2 linked regions of the Elephas maximus indicus genome follow. The protein of the gene in region 1 purifies or fractionates together with the protein of each later gene. This does not show direct contact. Links are inferred from orthologs where the notes say so. Each region holds a gene or a part of one and is shown on either strand. Other genes may lie near its edges. The genes, in order: USP43 and YWHAE.

The links.
Region 2: the proteins of USP43 (region 1) and YWHAE purify together in Homo sapiens (affinity purification with mass spectrometry; 3 studies listed by BioGRID and IntAct, with this or other methods). This does not show direct contact. The link is inferred for Elephas maximus indicus from reciprocal best matches to the Homo sapiens genes USP43 and YWHAE.

What each region holds. Positions count from the first base shown.
Region 1 is NC_064837.1:11,020,401-11,029,644, reverse strand, and holds the start of USP43 (ubiquitin carboxyl-terminal hydrolase 43), read left to right. Parts: upstream 1-5,259; 5' UTR 5,260-6,158; coding exon 6,159-6,665; intron 6,666-6,685; exon of another isoform or gene 6,686-6,804; intron 6,805-9,244. Other genes in the region: CFAP52 (cilia- and flagella-associated protein 52), read left to right, coding at 1,555-1,666, 2,732-2,907. UniProt on the Homo sapiens protein: May recognize and hydrolyze the peptide bond at the C-terminal Gly of ubiquitin. Involved in the processing of poly-ubiquitin precursors as well as that of ubiquitinated proteins.
Region 2 is NC_064837.1:20,284,849-20,293,923, forward strand, and holds the start of YWHAE (14-3-3 protein epsilon), read left to right. Parts: upstream 1-5,384; 5' UTR 5,385-5,503; coding exon 5,504-5,567; intron 5,568-9,075. UniProt on the Homo sapiens protein: Adapter protein implicated in the regulation of a large spectrum of both general and specialized signaling pathways. Binds to a large number of partners, usually by recognition of a phosphoserine or phosphothreonine motif.

The sequences.
Region 1 (9,244 bases):
TTTTCAGTGGCTGATTTTTAAGTAGATCACAAGGCCTTTCTTCCAAGGTGCCTCTGGGTAGACTCAAACTTCCAACCTTTTGGTTAGCAGCCAAGTGCATTAAGAGTTTGTATCACCTGGGAACTCCAAAAAGGAAAGAGAACAAGTTATATGTGCACTGGCTGAGTGGGGGGAAGCTCCTTTAGCTAGCATGGTCAGGGGTGAAAGCCTCCTTTAAGGAGGTGACATTTGACTGAGGCCTTAGATCCAAGGGAAGAGCATCCCAGACAGAGGAAGCTGGAGAAAGACTGAGCCCCTGATAGGGTTACCGAGGAAAGCGTGGCTTTGACTTCCTTGCCATGGAAGGCAGGTAGTCAAGCCCCAGCTACTTCTGTGGGTGTGACTCCTCAGAAGCATGGATTTTGGTATGTTCTCATATACTTCTTTGTGTTTCTACCATGAAAACAGAACTTTTTATTAAAGCAACTTAAGCATCAGTAGAAATTATAAGGAAAAAATACTTTAAGTGGGATACCCAGTTTGTAGCTAGGCTCAGAAGAGCACAGTTTCTAAGCACAAGGGCTGGAACACAGCATGTTTCCACCAACATGAAGCAAAGATAAGTGGGGTAATACATGCCCAACACTCCTGATTCCTGGTCAACCTGCTCTTCATTTAGAAAGAAGTTTTATTTTTGAGTAGGCTGTATATTCACAAGTTTCAAAGTTCAGCAACAGTATATTCAGAGAAAGAGTTCTTTCCATTCGGCCCTTCTCCCAGCCTCCCTATCCTAGTTTCCCTCCTGGGGAGGGGTCCAATGTTATCACTGTCTTTAAACCCCACCCTGCTGAATGCTTTATTGCTTCAAGGAAGAGGAAAGAGTTGAACTAAGGGTGGGGTGAGGAAAAGGAAGGAGTTCCTGGGGGGTGCAAATGGCGAGCATTCTTGGCTGCTGACCCAAAGGCTGGCCCCCAGAGGCACCTTGAAGAAAGGCCTGGCTATCTACTTCTGAAAAATCAGCCATTAGAAACTCTGTGGAGCACAGTTCTGCTCGGACACATGCAGGGTCGCCATGAGTCAGACAGACTTGATGGCATCGGTGGTGGTGATGGAGGAAGAGGGAGAATCCAGCCACAGTGGGAAGGTGACTTGGTAAGGCCCTGCCTCCTGAAACTCTCCAGACCGCTCATTCCCCAATCAGAAGGAAGGAAATGCTTTGTCCTGGCTCTGTTTCAGAACAAAAGCTGGAACCCCGGGTGCCTTTGCTGTTTTCTTTCTTTTACAGCTTGCTTCAGACTCAATCCCCTTAGTCTTATCAAAAGCACTTTCTGCCCCAATCCAGGTTTATCAGCATATCAACATCTCTTGAAATAGAATGCAAAATATTAAACAAATACAAAAATAGGGTAATGGTTTCTCCTCCCCCTGCCTTTGCCTATTTATAATTTCAGCCCATCTCACCCCTCAGTGTATTTTTACTACCTTCTATATAAAGTCAAGCCATCTTCTGGGAACCTGTGCGTGGACCATCCCACTGAGCTGAATCCTGCCTAATGCTTCTTTCCTGAATTCCAGATTGCTTACTGGGAAGTATTTGATGGGTCGGTAATCAGAGAGCTGGAAGGTTCCTTGTCTGGGTCAATAAATGGGATGGATATCACAGTGGAAGGAGTGCATTTTGTTACAGGTTAGTCTTGGGATCAGAAAAAAACGTCAGGCTTGGCTTCCTTAGATGGGAACATGGGAATCTCAGGTGGGAGACAAGTCGAAGAGACCACAAAAGGGTCTAAAGGGCAACCTGGTTAGACTCGGACTTGAACACTGCAGCTAACATGGCTGGAAAAGAAAAATCCAAAAGTTGCCTTTCAAAGACAGGAATGTTTGCACAGGAACATTAGGGACACACAAAAAGATCAGCCTTCCATTGTGGGCTTACTTTTCTTTGGTGGCCACTGATGATAAAAATGGAACTTTAAATGGCCTGGTCTATTCAGATGCCTTCCTATTTTATTTCCTGCCAAAGCCTTAAATGTGAGTCTTTTTATTCACTTTTATTATGGAATGACACTATGCCCTCCACCAAAATAAATGAATAAATCAGCATTTCAAGGGGTCATTTATCACAAAACATGCCAGTTGGAACAATATCAACGTTGTTTCTTGCCAGGCATTTTGATCCTCCAAGATATTAAGAAGTAAATGCTCCAAATGAGTTAACGCGTCACAAATATATTAACTTAAAGCTATAAAACTAGACAGAGTGTCATTCCAGTTAGGCACACAGTTGTATATGCTTACCTGTACACTTCTAGAAAGAGACCCTGGTGGCACAATGGCCAAATGCTCGGCTGGAACCATGAGGTCGACAGTTCGAACCCTCCAGGCCACGAGGGAGAAAAGACCTAGGGAACCCTGTGGGGCAGCTCTGCTCTGCCATATAGGGTGGGTATGCGTTGCAATCGACTCTACGGCATACAACGACAACAACACTTGGAGAAAAAAGACTGAAAGGAACTAAACCAAGAATGTTATTTATGGTTTTTCTGGGTGGTGAGTTTAAGGGTGATTTTACCCTCTTTGTATTTTTTTCCTCCCAAATTTACTACAACAGGCATAGATTTTTATAATCAGGGGAAAGTGTTCGTCTAAACACGAAGAATGTTTAGAAAACAATCCAGTTATTTGAAATCAGGGCTGTTTCTCTCCATCCAGGCACTACTGCCGCATTATTAGATAACTTTGTCTTTTTCAGGTGGAAATGACCACCTGGTGAAAGTCTGGGATTATAACGAGGGTGAAGTGACTCATGTTGGAGTGGGACATAGTGGCAACATCACACGCATCCGGATAAGCCCAGGCAACCAATACATTGTCAGCGTAAGTGGCGACGGAGCCATCCTGAGGTGGAAGTATCCCTATGCCTCATGAAGCAGCCTGGACCACCTGGAGCCACCGCCTCACCCAGTTGTGTTGAAGGCTGAGCTTAGGTCACTCCAAGACTGGTCTGGATTTCTCATGCCTGTGTTTTTGTTCCTTAGCCCAACTATCTTACGTCTAATTTTCTCCTTTCCCTTGTAGAATGCATTTCACATTCATAAATTTTATATTAAAATTGAAATGTGCTCAAGAATGGTATATCTAGACTAATTAAAACAGCGTTTTTTTCTATTGTGACTAAATCCGAGTTGTTTGTTCCCTGTCATCAGCTCTTTTCTGTGGAAAAGCCCCAGCCCTTCCCCGGATAGCATTGCTATTACCCCCTAAAATTAAGGCGGGCTGAATTTACATTCTTAATCATCACTTCAGTAGTCAAGCTGCATGGGGCAAGACTTGGGTTTGAATCCAGATCTCGGGTAGATTTCTTAACTCTCTGAGCCTCAGTTATTCTTTTGTAAAGTGAGAATAAATTCTTGCTCAAAAGGTTATTGTGAGAATTTAGTGATACAATGTATTAAAGCCACCACTTGTCTGTCAGTTTGTCATACTGTGATGTTGCTATGGTGCTGGAAGCTATGCCACCAGTATTTCAAATACCAGCAGGATTACCCATGGTGAACAGCTTTCAGTAGAACTTCCAGACTAAGACATAGGAAGAAAGGCCTGGAGATCTACTTCGAAAAATTAGCCAGTGAAAACTCTGTGGATCACAGAGTGTTGTCCGAGACTTCAACTCACTTACTTGGGACACGTCATCAGGAGGGATGGGTCACTGGAGGAGGACATCATGTTTGGTAAAGTGGAGGGCAAACGAAGACAAGGGAAACCCTCAATGAGATGGATTGACACCATGGCCACAACAAGGGACTCAAGGATGCCAGTGGTCACAAAGACTGCAGGACTGGGCAATGTTTCATTCTGTTACACACAAGGTCAGCATGAGTCAGGAGCTAACTAAATGGTAACTAACAAAAACAAGAACAACAATAATGTGTTAAAAGCAGCAGTGGAATTCCTGGCACAGAGTATAGACTGAAATGTGAATTATTCTGTGTTGGCAAGTTAAATGTGTTTGTTATTGTCTTAGTTCTCTGGTTGTTGCTATAACAGAAATACCACAGGTGGATGGATTTAACAAACAAATTTATTCTCTGACAATCTAGGAGGCTAGAAGTCTGAATTCAGGATGCCAGCTCCTGGGGAATTCTTTCTGTCTATGTCAGTTCTGGGGGAAAGTCCTTGTCATCAACCTTCCCCTGGTCTAGGAGCTTCTCAGCACAGAGACCCCAGGTCCAAAGGACACGCTTAGCTCCAGACACCTCTTTCTTGGTGCTATGAGCTCCCCAACTCACTGCTCACCTTTTTCTCCTTTTATCTCTTGTAAAATAAAGTGATGCAGGCCACACCCCAAGGAAACTCCTCTTACATCCCATCAGGGCTGTGACCTGAGTAAGGGTGTTGCATCCCACCCTAATGCTCTTTAACACAACCTAATCATGCCTCGCTTACCACAGGCAGAGATTAGGATTCACAACACAGAGGATAACTCCATCAGGTTACAAAATGAAAGACAACCACACAATACTGGGAATCATGGCCTAGCCAAGCTGACACAATTTTAGGGGGACACAATTCAATCTATGACAGTTAGGAATCTTGGGGTGACTACCAAAGATGGAATTTCAGAGATGTTTTGTTGGGGACGGTCATAAAATCTTTCTTCCATGCTTACTACCAGAGAGGTGATGGAAGGGACCGTTTTTTTCCAGACAGGGTAAATGAAGGCAGTTTTCCAGAAACACCTCAGGACTCCACTCACAATCTTTTGTTCTAAGAATATTCTTCAACGAGTACTTCTTTTTTTTTGCATCAGGAAAACTGCCGCTATCCTATTTGAAATACCAAGAAGGATATTTAATAAAGGATGCTCGCTTATTAAATAACAAGCAACATTTCAGGGCGTTGATGTAATATGCATCCTGGTGATCTCTTTTTAAGCGAAAAAGTGATGAGAAATTCATTTTGCAAGACCTTGCCTGATTAATTATAAACCTGACAGAGGATGATGTGAGCAGAGGCCCCGGAGTTACCCAGGGAATCAAGGGCCGGGCAAGGCCAAACTCATTCTGATACGATGACGACTCAGCAAGGATTTCGTGTTAAGGAGTGAACAGGAAAGCGCGTAGGGGGCGCGCCTGAGAGCCGGAAAACTTCCTGGTGAGCTAATACCGAGGTTGTGGGAAGGGCCTGCGCGGGGCAGTTCGCAGCACCGGGCTCCAGTTCCGCTTTCGTGCTCAGCCGGGAGCTGAGCTCCTGCACGCTAAGTTAAACCTCCCTGAGCCCGTTTCTCCACCAATTAGAACGAGGACGATCAAGTCTCACTTGGAAGTTTTAGGGACAATGAGTGATTTGGTCTGTACTTCCAAAAACAAACCACAGCCACCCGGGTGATTCTTCAGTGGGTAACACGCGGTTCCCAGGTCTGATCCCAGGAGGGCGCGGCAGAGCGAAGGCTCTTTTCCAAGGGGGCAGCGTGCCCGCACACACCTGAGTCTGCGGAGGAACTAGCAGTCGCTGAAACGTTCCCCACCCTTCGCAGCTGTGCACCTCTCTCACTGCTCCTGAGGCCGCCCTTTTAAGGCCATCTCCCCTTTTCCTTCATTCACCTGGACGTAATTTCAAGAAGCCTACAAATAGCCCTGGCTTTGCGATTTACTAGGGGCTTTCAAGTTTATCATTCTTCCGTGGTAGGGGAGGAGCCCTGGAGGCGCAGTGGTTAAGAGCTGGCTGCTAAGCAAAAGGTCTGCAGTTCGAATCCACCAACCGCTCCTTGGAAACCCTATGGAGCAGTTGTACTCTGTCCTATAGGATCTCTGAGTCGTAGTCGGCTCCACGGCAACGGGTTTGGTTTTTTTTTTTTCCCCCCCCCGTTTATGGTGGCGGAGAAACCGAGGCAGAGGTTAAACCCAGGTTCGTTGGCTTCTCAGAGGTAAGGAAGGGTTGGGACCGTGACAGCAGCGACTCGCAGTAGGGTGGCCGGGCACAGCCCGGGGCTGGCCTTGGGGCCGGATTCCCCGAGGGGCGGAGCAGCCCTGCCCTTAGCTCCACCCCCGCCCGCTCCCGCACACCTGGCCCGCAGGTAGCCGGCGCCCCGGCCCCTCTCCGAGTCTGTAAGAGCTTGTTAGCCGCTCGCCCGCTTCGGGCCCGTGGGCTCTGCGCGGGGAGCCGCGCCGGCGGGAGCCATGGACCCCGACCCGGGAGCGGAACTGGCCGGCCCGGGGGATGCGAGCGCACAGGGGCCGCCCCTGCCCCGCCGCCGCAGCTCCCTACGCCGCCTGCTCAGCCGCTTCCTGCTGGCTCTGGGCAGCCGCGCCCGCCCGGGGGCTTCGCCGCTCCGGCCCGGATCCTGCAACGGCGAAGGCGAAGGGGGCTTTGCCCACGCCCGGGTCCCGGCTCCGTCCGCGCCCGGGAGCCCCGGGGAGGAGCGCCAGCCCAGACCCCAGCCCCAGCTCCCCGCTGGCGACGGGGCGCGGCCCCCAGGCGCGCAGGGGCTGAAGAACCACGGCAACACCTGTTTCATGAACGCCGTGGTGCAGTGCCTCAGCAACACCGACCTGCTGGCCGAGTTCCTGGCGCTGGGACGCTACCGGGCAGCGCCGGGCCGCGCCGAGGTCACCGAGCAGCTGGCGGCGCTGGTGCGCGCGCTCTGGACGCGCGAATACACGCCCCAACTTTCCGCCGAGTTCAAGGTAGGCAGCGTGCGGCCACAGCCCCGAGCCGGCCCTTCTGGTTTCGCTTTTTGAGAAGTGCATGTTCAGGGAAGGGTTTTCTTGGGCCTTCTTCAGATGGCAAGGACCAGCTCAGCCTCGCTTACCGCCTTTGTCTTGAGTTAGTTTGATGTTTTGTCACTTGCCTGTATTTTCTTTGTGAATTAATTTCTCCCAGGTATTTTGAGCGGCGGCGCGGTGGGGAGGTCCGAGAGGGGGCTCTGAGTTTATCTAACAAATAGATTTGTTGAAGCGTCGAAGGCCTATGGGCCAGACAGTGTTGTAATGCTAGTGACGGAGCTTCCGGTCTGCAGGGGTGGGGAGCGGGGAGTCGTTCATGGAAGGCCTGGGAGGAAGGAGGTGGGTTGAGACCCTAGTGATGAGAAGCACGGAGCCAGGCCAAGATCAGGGAGTAATCCAGGAGAGGCAACAGTACAGGCCAGGAAAGCTGAGTACTGGAAGCAGGAAAGAAAACTCCTGTCTCTGGAGCTAAGGGGGATAAGGAGGGAGGTGAGGGTGGCTGGAGCCAGTACGGTCATGGAGGCGATGGTAAGGAGTTCGAATTTTATTCTAAGTCCAGTGGAAGCTGAGAACCCACTGTGGGCCAGGCACTGTATTGAGTGCCCAGGAGAGGCAGTGGTGCGCCATTTTGGAGATGACATCCTTTGGCCTGATGCCCTACTATGTGTTAGCATGGGGTTGCATCCAGTGACCCCAGGATCACGTCGACCTGCTGCGGATGCTGCAGGGAGGAGGCTTTGTGAATTGTACTACGTCACCCAGGGTAAAACACAGCGTTTGGGTCTGTTTGGAGTAGAGTTCATGATAATGGATGCCCATGGCTGGCTTCCTGCTGGAAAACCACAGCCCGGGCAGAGAGCAGAAGCTGCCCACAGACCAGTGCTTGTTGCTCTTTGGGGGAGGGGGGAACCTGTCAGTGTTCATTCCACAGGCATTAGGGCTCTTGAGTTTCAGCCTGAGAAAGCAGCCCTTGTGACCCAGAAGGAGGCCAGCCCCCACCTTCCTCTCTCCTATGTCTTTAGCGAAGTAGTGTTCTGAGTAGTCAGTGGATCATCAAGCAAATGTCATTAATGCCTCTTTTGGATAACATTTTATTTTATTTTTTTAGTGCGAGAGACAGTATAGTGGTTATAGCTGGAATCCTAGAGCCCTCCTTAGCTTTGTGATCTTGAGGAAGTTACTAAACTTGGCCAGGCCTCAACTTTCCTCATCTGCAAAATTGGGTCATAATGAATGAGTTGTATATGTACAGCACTTAGAACAGTGCCTGGTCCACAGGAAGTGTTTGTTATTGTCACTATGAATATACTTTCTCACCTGCAGAAACCTGGAGGAGGGAGGGAGGTATTCCTTGTGTTGCTTTTTTCTTGCCAGATGCAGTCCCATCCAATTACTGCCTTGATGGGAGAGGCTGGAGTACCTTGAAAAAAAAGTTCCAGGTTATGACCCTTGGTGACTCACCAGGGTTTCTTATCTTCTGCTCTCAAGTCCCTGAGGCCTGGAAGCTCCCTTCAAACCTTGGGGAATTAAGTGTAACTTAGTAGTTAACCTTTTTTTTTTTTAGTAGTTAACATGTTAATGAGGGTGACCTAACCTGGAGTTTCCTGGGGCTTTGGAGTAGCCAGTCCTGGAGGATTCCACAATCCAGGTTTTTAAAAACCTTTCCTATTGAAATCTGGGTGGGTTCTTCATATTTTACAGATGAGGAAACATTAATTTCATTCAACAAATATTTATGGGGTGTCCAGACACTGTGCCCAGAGCATGGAATACTGATGAGTGATAAGTAGAAAACCAGATCCTGGGGCTGCTCTCCGGGAATTTACGATGTAGTGGGAGAGACACCACACCCAAAACCCATTGCCTTAGAGTCCATTTTGACTTCATAGCGACCCTATAGGACAGAGTAGAACTGCCCCATAGTGTTTCCAAGGCTGTAAGTCCTTACGGAAGCAGACTGCCACATCTTTCTCCTGCAGAGTGGCTGGTGGGTTTGAACTTCCAACCTTTTGGTTAGCATCCAAGCACTTAAGCACTGTGCCACCAGGACTCCTCGTGGGAGAGATGAATATTAATTAAATGATCACACAGGCACACGGTGACAATGCTGGAAAGGGAAAACACATGGCACTATGGCCGGGGGGGAGCCCTGGTGGTGCAGCGGTTTGGAACTCAGCTGCTAACCAAAAGTTTGGCAGCTGGAATCTACCAGGGGCTCCTTGGAAGCACTATGGGGCAGTTCTGCTCTGCCCTATAGGGTCAATATGAGTTGGAATCGACTTGTAGGCAATGGGTTATAGCTGGAGGGCCAGTGAGTTGAATTTTAGAGAACGAAGGGTCAGCTAAGAGCCCCTTAGGGAGGCTAGGAGACGTGAATCCGTGAAAGCCAATGGGACAGGTTGTATAAGGTCTGATAGCACATATTAAGGAGTTGGTCTTTAAGACAGATTGTTAGCTTCAGACAAAGGAAGGAAGGAAACTGAGGAGGGGCCTGCATCCCAGAGTAAGTTAAGGAGTGGGTTTTCCGTGCTCTCCCTTCC
Region 2 (9,075 bases), about 9.3 Mb from region 1:
GACCCAGTGGATAAAAGAAGGTTACCTCCTAATCTCTGCATGTCCTGTCGTTAATCTAGGAGCAAAGCTGACTTTTTTTTTAGGTGGGGTGACATATGTGAACACATGGGTCAAAACCTGTGACTGAACTTCATTATTTGGCCACCCTTATTGGTCACCACGACTTCATTCTCATTTCTCTCAAATTATTTTTGCTGTGTCCACAAGTTGATTCTGACCCGTAGTGACCCTCTAGGACAGAGAACTGCCCCATAGGGTTTCCTAGGCTGTAATCTTTGTGGGAGCAAAATTCCAGGTCTTTTCCCCTTGGAGCTGCTGCTGGATTCGAACCACTGACCTTTTGGTTAGAAGCTGAGCTCTGCACCATTGCTCCACCAGAGCCACTTTCTCCCAAATTATGCTGTACGGTCGCTACGAGTCGTAATCAACTGGACGGCAACTGGTTTGGTTTTGGGTTTTGAGTCAGAATCAACTCTACAGCAACGTCTTTTTTGGTATCTCTTCACTGCTATGCTTTTCAAGAGAGCTCTACACTTAACTGCTTTCATTTCCTCACCTTCTTTGGGTCTGAACCAAATGTAGTCTAGCTTCCAACACCCTTTCAAAACTGCTCTTGAAGGTCAATAATGACCTAATTGCTATATTTAATGGCTTTTCCTCAGTGCCAGTCTTACTTAATGTCTCTGCAGAATTTAATACTACTCACCACACCCTTGGAAACCCTGGTGGGTAGTGGTTAAGTGCTATGGCTGCTAACCAAAACGTTGGCAGTTCGAATCCACCAGGCGCTCCTTGGAAACTCTATGGGGCAGTTCTACTCTGTCTTATAGAGGCCATATGATTCAGAATTGACTCGATGGCAACAGGTTTGGTTTGGACCACCTCATTATTTTTGAAACTCTTCTCACTTGTTTTATGACACTAATGTCTCCTGATTCTCACTCAAACTTGAGCCACAGAAACATTAATAATACATAGTTAACATTCATTGAGTATCAGGCATCTTCCAGGTAACCGCCCACTTGATTCTCATTTGTATGAGGAAAATATCATTCCCATTTTATAGGTAAGAAAACTGAGGCTTAAAGAAGGTGAGTGACTTGCCTCCATTGCACACGCAATAAGTAGCCCTTGAACCCAAGGAATCCAAGAGCAGAGGCCATAGTCTTAATTGCTAGGACGTGTTCTACAGAGCTGGAAAAGGTCAGCAGATCCAGTTCCTTCACTTTACACATGAATTCGAAGCTCATAGAGGTGAAGTGACTTGCTGAAGGTCATACATTTATTCAGTCCTAGAATTTTTTTCTTTTTTTTAGAATTAGTACTTCCCCTCGTGTCTGTCAGTTTGTCGTACTGTGGGGGCTTGTGTGTTGCTGTGATGCTGGAAGCTATGCCGCCAGTATTCAGATACCAGCAGGGTCACCCATGGAGGACAGGTTTCAGCTGAGTTTCCAGACTAAGACGGGCTAGGAAGAAGGACCCGGCAGTCTACTTCTGAAAAGCATTAGCCAGTGAAAACCTCAGGAATAGCAGTGGAACACTGTCTGATATAGTGCAGGAAGATGAGCCCCCCAGGTTGTAAGGCACTCAAAAGATGAGTGGGGAAGAGCTGCCTCCTCAAAGTAGAGTCAACCTTAATGACGTGGATGGAGTAAAGCTTTCAGGACTTTCATTTGCTGATGTGGCACAACTCAAAATGAGAAGAAACAGCTGCAAACATCCATTAATAATCAGGACCTAAAATGTACGAAGTATGAATCTAGGAAAATTGGAAATAGTCAAAAATGAAATGGAACGCATGAACATCGATATCCTAGGCATAGAGAGATGAAATGGACTGGTATTGGCCATTTTGAATTGGACAATCATACAGTCTACTATGCTGGGAATGAAAACTCGAAGAGGAATGGTGTTGCATTCATCGTCAAAAAGAACGTTTCAAGATCTACCCTAAAGTACAACGCTGTCAGTGATAGGATAATATCCATATGCCTACAAGGAGGACCAGTTAATACGACTATTATTCAAATTTACCCACCAACCAGTAGGGCCAAAATGAAGAAATAGAAGATTTTTATCAGCTGCTGCAGTCTGAAATTGATCGAACATGCAATTAAGATGCATTGATAATTACTGGCGATTGCAATGGGAAAGTTGGAAACAAAGAAGGATCAGTAGTTGGAAAATATGGCCTTGGTGATAGAAACAATGCCGGAGATCGAATGATAGAATTTTGCAAGACCAACAACTTCATTGCAAATACCTTCTTTCACCAACATAAACAGCGACTATACACATGGACCTAGCCAGATGGAACACACAGAAATCAAATTGACTACATATGTGGAAAGAGACGATGGAAAAGTTCAATATCATCAGTCAGAACAAGGCCAGGGGCCAACTGGGGAACAGACCATTAATTGCTCATATGCAAGTTCAAGCTGAAACTGAAGAAAATCAGAGCAAGTCCACAAGAACCAAAATATGACCTTGAGTATATCCCACCTGAATTTAGAAACCATCTCAAGAATAGATTTGACGCACTGAACACTAGTGACCGAAGACCAGACGAGTTGTGGAATGACATCAAGGACATCATCCATGAAGAAAGCAAGAGGTCACTGAAAAGACAGGAAAGAAAGAAAAGACCAAGATGGATGTCAGAGGAGACTCTGAAACTTGCTCTTGAGTGTCAAGCAACTAAAGCAAAAGGAAGAATTGATGAAGTAAAAGACCTGAACAGAAGATTTCAAAGGGCCTCTCAAGAAGACAAAGTGAAGTAGTATAACGACATTTGCAAAGAGCTGGAGAAGGAAAACCAAAAGGGAAGAACATGCTTGGCGTTTCTCAAGCTGAAAGAACTGAAGAAAAAATTCAAGCCTCGAGTTGCAATAGTGGATTCCATGGGGAAAATATTAAACGACGCAGGAAGCATCAAAAGAAGATGGAAGGAATACACAGAGTCATTAGACCAAAAAGAATTAGTCGATACTCAACCATTTCAAGAGGTGGCATATGATCAGGAACCGATGGTACTGAAGGAAGATGTCCAAGCTGCTCTGAAGGCACTGGCAAAAAACAAGGCTCCAGGAATTGATGGAATATCAATTGAGATGTTTCAACAAACAGATGCAGCGCTGGAGGTGCTCACTCGTCTATGCCAAGAAATATGGAAGGCAGCTTCCTGGCCAACTGACTGGAAGAGATCCATATTTATGCCTATTCCCAAGAAAGGTGATCCAACCGGATGTGGAAATCATAGAACAATATCATTAATATCACACACAAGCAAAATTTTGCTGAAGATCATTCAAAAACGGCTGCAGCAGTATATTGACAGGGAACTGCCAGAAATTTCAGGCCTGTTTCAGAAGAGGACGTGGAACTAGAGATATCACGGCTGATGTCAAATGGATCCTGGCTGAAAGCAGAGAATACCAGAAGGATGTTTACCTGTGTTTTATTGACTATGCAAAGGCATTCAACTGTGTGGATCATAACAAACTATGGATAACACTGCGAAGAATGGGAATTCCAGAACACTTAATTGTGCTCATCAGGAACCTCTACATAGATCGAGGCAGTTGTTCTGACAGAACAAGGGGATACTGATTGGTTTAAAGTCAGGAAAGCTGTGTGTCAGAGTTGTATTCTTTCACCATACCTATTCAATCTGTATGCTGAGCAAATTATCCGAGAGGCTGGACTATATGAAGAAGAATGGGGCATCAAGATTGGAGGAAGACTCATTAACAACCTGTGTTATGCAGATGACACAACCTTGCTTGCTGAAAGTGAAGAGGACTTGATGCACTTACTAATGAAAATCAAAGACCACAGCCTTCAGTTTGGATTACACCTCAACATAAGGAAAACAAAAATCCTCACAACTGGACCAATGAGCAACATCATGATAAACGGAGAAAAGATTGAAGTTGTCAAGGATTTCATTTTACTTGGATCCACAATCAACAGCCACAGAAGCAGCAGTCAAGAAATCAAAAGACGCATTGCATTGGGTAAATTTCCTGCAAAGGACCTCTTCAAAGTGTTGAAGAGCAAAGATGTCACCCTGAAGACTAAGGTATGCCTGACCCAAGCCATGGTATTTTCAATCACATCATATGCATGTGAAAGCTGGACAATGAATAAGGAAGACCGAAGAAGAGTTGACGCCTTTGAATTGTGGTGTTGGGGAAGAATATTGAATATACCATGGACTGCCAAAAGAACAAACAAACCTGTCTTGGAAGAAGTGCGGCCAGAATGCTCCTTAGAGGCAAGGATGGCGAGACTGCATCTTACATACTTGGACATGTTGTCAGAAGGGATCAGTCCCTGGAGAAGGACATCATGCTTGGCAGAGTACAGGGTCAGCAGAAAAGAGGAAGACCCTCAACGAGGTGGATTGACAGGGTGGCTGCAGCAATGAGCTCAAGCATAACAAAGATTGTAAGAATGGCGCAGGACCGGGCAGTGTTTCGTTCTGTTGTGCATAGGGTAGCTATGAGTAGGAACGGACTCCAGGGCACCTAGTAACAACAACACAATTAGTACTAGAACCCAAGTCTTTTGAGCCTCAGTCTTTTATCATTGGAATTTGATAAATTAGGGTAAGAGTGTGAAGTGACATAATTTGGAATGCATAGGGAGCCACCCAGTCTCCTTCGCTGGCTCCTCTCTGCTTTCACTTACCTTAATGTAGGAATTCTCCAATGTTTTGTGTTTGGTCCTTTTCTAGCTCTATATGCACTCTCTAGGCACTTCCAAGCAGCGTGAGAATTGGAAGCCCTTCCGCCTATTGCCAACCAAACCAAACCCATTGCCGTCAAGTTGATTCTATCACATTTTCTCCCACAGAGCGGCTGGTGGATTCAAACTGCCTATCTTCCTGTTACCAGTCAAGTTCTGAACTACTGTGCCACCAGGGATCCTATGGCCAAACACAGCAGGGCCCAACTCTTTACACTGGGATTAAAGGAATCTCAAAAGCTCTGGGACGGAGCAATGTAGGAGTGGCAATGTAGGACAGGGCATATTTATTTCGGTGACAAAGGCCTGCAATGATCAAAACCATTATGGCCTCTCGTTTTCTTTGCCCGTAGTCCAGGCCTCGACTTGCTCGTGTCCCTCGGCTCCCTCGAGGTGCGGTCCAGGCCCATTTCGCCTCCCGACCCCCGCCTCCCTACATCCCCGCGGACCGTCCTCCCTCCCAGCAGTCAGCGTTCCCGCCTCTGCGCTCCAGCGCCTGCTGAGCCGACAGAGGTGTGCCGTCTCGAGGGTTCCAGCCTCTTCTGGCGGTGATCTCCAGGACCCGCCCCCCCGCGCCAGTTGCCAGGGAGCGGTTACCATAGAGCTGAGCAGTTGTCCGCGTGCGCAGGCGGAAGTCCCGGATTGAGGCGCCGCCATTTTTGCTGCCCGGACGCGGAGCGAGAGGCTGAGAGAGTCGGAGACGCTATCCGCTTCCATCCGTCGCGCAGACCCTGCTTGAGCCACCGCCGCTATGGATGATCGGGAGGATCTGGTGTACCAGGCGAAGCTGGCTGAGCAGGCTGAGCGATACGACGGTGAGTTGGTGGGGCAGCGGAGGGCTGGAATTCTCGGACCCTCTGCCGCCGCCCACTGAGGCCGGGAGGAGACAAAATGGCGGCATCGTCTCCGCGCCTGGCCCGGGGACGTGGATTCGGGAAGCAGGAAATGGCCTATGGGCTCCTGGAGCGATGGAAGGCTCCAGGCCCAGGAATTTGACCCCTTCGGCGTCCTCAGTTGTAGCCACTCGCGGACCGGGAGGCCGAGGCGATAGGGTGGAGGAGTTGATTGTAAAATGGCGGCTGGGGGAGGGCGAGTCTCGGGGCGGGGGAGGGGGAGGAGATCTCGGGTGCTGTCTCCGGACGTGCAGTCCCCAGGGGAGCTTTTGGGACAGTCTTGGGATGTGGAGAACAATTGGTTGGGGTGATGGGGGAAGAAACGCCCGCCACATGGGGGAGAGTGGAGACTGGGAGCTGTAGCGCTGGCGCCTTTGAGGGAAATATGGCGGGTGGGGGCGGTGGCTTTTCCCCGGAGGCCCAGTGTGGGGCGGCGGCTGTGGAGTCTCACAAAGGAGAACCTTTGCGAGTGGAGGGCTTCCTTGGGCTTGTGGTGGGGGGTGTAGTCCTGGATGAGAGTGAGAGTAGGGGGAGATGGGAATCACTGCAGTTCATCTTTGGGCGGAGACAAGCTGAGATGCTGCGATCGGATTTCTTCCCGTCGGCTGGCACACCTTGGAGGAGGGTTTTTTGGGCTTTACGATCTGCCTCGCCTTCTTGTTCTGGGGAGGTCCAGAAAAATCTCACTCATACTCTCTTTTTTCAGGCTTATCCCTCAGAGCTCGAAGTTTCCTGGTATCATTTGGCTCCAGAAACACTGGGTTTTAGTGGATAGGACATTAAACAGGAGGCGAGGAGATCATGACTGTCAGTTTTAGGTTTTGTAATGCCTGTGCCTCGATTTACCAGTTTGTAAAAATGATGGCTTCCCCGTTCTCACGAACGCACCGTTATGACAAATGGAAGGATCTTCTGTTGAACGAAATTATCTAAAATGATGTGTAGTAGCCGTATTTTGGTCGAGTCCCCAAGCTTGGAATGCGTGTTTTACTTTATTGGAAATCTTAACCTGATTCAGGCGCAGAACTGAGGCTTGAGTCTTTGAATTAGGCGATTCCAGGAGAGTCTGTATTTTCTTTTTTGCATATGAATTAAATGGTTTTATGCACAGTTTTGAACAGTTCCTCTTCTGTTTATTGCTTCTTTGTCCTGAAAGGTTCTTTAGTAATTTTTCAGAACTTTATCGAATGGCCGTTGTGTCTGTTCAGTTAGTCCCAGGCAGTTTCCTTTTCAACATAACTCCTCTTCCCACCCCTCCCCTTCACATACACCCACATATCACACATTGGACCTAGGTACTTGTTACCCGTACATCCATTAAATTGCACTGTATTAAAAACCAGCATTACGTGGTCTTACACAAATAGGTTATTTCTAATGTTTTTTTTTCGCGGGGGGGCGTGTGGCGGGGTGAGACGTGGTTGGAGTCAAATGCCTTGACCCATCTCGTAATTACTTAAGCTACTGATTTTTCGAAATTTTCTTCTCAAGTACTTAAGCCAGTTATTTTTTAAAATGTAAGGTAGGGCCCTTGGTTTCTTGAATAGCGTCAGGGCTAGTCCCCCTGTGTCATTAGAAATTAGAAATCAGGGATTTAAAAATTAGAGGGAGAAGGCCTCCAGAAGTCAAATTTAGGAAAGACACTGCACTGAATTTTTTCTTGTAAATCTTTAAGTTGTTATTGGTATTGAACGAGGTTCCTTTTGGAAGGGGGAGGGGTAATAAAACGGGAGAAGTACAGCTCAAGGTCAGTTTGTCTTTATTTCGGTGTTTAAAATTCAAACAAATGTAGGTGTACTTGTAACGGAGTTGTTTTTTCCCGCCTTGTGCCCCAGATCGGTTTCACCCTTAATCTACCAGTGCCCTTGCGAGGAAACTTAACATTATATTTGAATACTTTCGGTTGTATAGAGATTTAGGCTGTGAGTAAACTTGATGTGATAACAAAAAGAATGTGGAGGTTTTTTTTTTTTTTTTTGAAACGGATTGGGAAACTCATGATTGTAGTTTCCAAACAAATCATAGTTTAATGATAATTGTATTTTGGAGTTGAGTGCTGAGGATTTAAAAGCAAGATCTTTATTGGTTATTCAACATAGAATGCTTTTGATAGAGCCACATTATTACGTTGTTCAAATGTTAGATTTCCCTTTCAGAATCTAAAGGGGAGGGACATAGGACCTACAATGTGGAGAAGAACTATAGAGAACTCTGACAATTGGGAGCTTAAGAATCAGTGGAAAGGAAGAGGAGGAGGAAGGTGCAACAGGAGTAAGCCTGTCTTTACCTGTATCCACAGATGCATGTTGTTGTTGTTGGTTGTAGAGTTGGTTCTGACACATGATGGACCTCATGTGTGCAGAGTAGAATGATCCATAGGGTTTTCAAGTCTGTGACTTTTGAGAAGCAGAATGCTGGGCCTGTCTTCAAAGGAGCCTCTGGGTGGGTTTGAACTGCCAACCTTCAGCTAATAGTGCTTAAGTGTTTCTGCCACCCAGGGACTCTAGAGAGTCATAAAACCAAAACCAAACCCGCTGCCGTCGAGTTGATTTCGACTCATAGCAATCCTATAGTACAGAGTAGTACTGCTCCATAGGGTTTCCAAGGAGTGCCTGGTGGATTTGAACTGCTGACCTTTTGGTTAGCAGCTCTTAACCACTATCCCACCAGGCTTTCCCTTTAGAGGCTAAAAAACCAAAAACCAAACCCAGTGCCATCGAGTCGATTCCGACTCATAGCGACCCTATAGGACAGAGTAGAACTGCCCCATAGTTTCCAAGGAGCGCCTGGCGGATTCGAACTGTTGACCCTTTGGTTAGCAGCCGTAGCACTTAACCCCACTACACCACCAGGGTTTCCTGTAGCGCCATAGGTTTCCTTTATTGAGTGCAGTGAATTCAGTTTTGTGTCTGGTAACAAAAAATGATCCCATAGTCCTGGTCACCAAACAAAGTTTACTACCAGGTGTGGGGAGTAGGAAAAGATGAGGATGCATTTGAGTGATTTGTTTTCTGGGTACTTGGATATAAATGTTGGTTTCCCAATAGTCCGTGCTTTTCTCCTCGTTTCTGTATTTTGCATGCTGTGTTGAGTTTAATGCCTAAACTCCTTTTTAGCCTTACTTACCTATCCTGGGAGATTGGAATCAATTTATATATATATATATATTTTTTTTTTTAACGATACTAGAGGAGGAGCTAAGCTTTGTACAGGAAAAGGACAATTTCGGGTTGCGGTTAGAAAATATTGAAGTTTGGGGCCAATAAGATTGTTCACCTTGGAGATCAAATCCCCCATCCCGTCACTTTAACAAGTCAGTAGCTTAAGGAATAAACTACTGGTGCAATGCTGGACTGGTAGGCTAAAGGCTTGGTAGCCTGCTTCCATTAGGATTACAGCCAAGAAAAAGAAATAGAGCAGTTCTACTCTA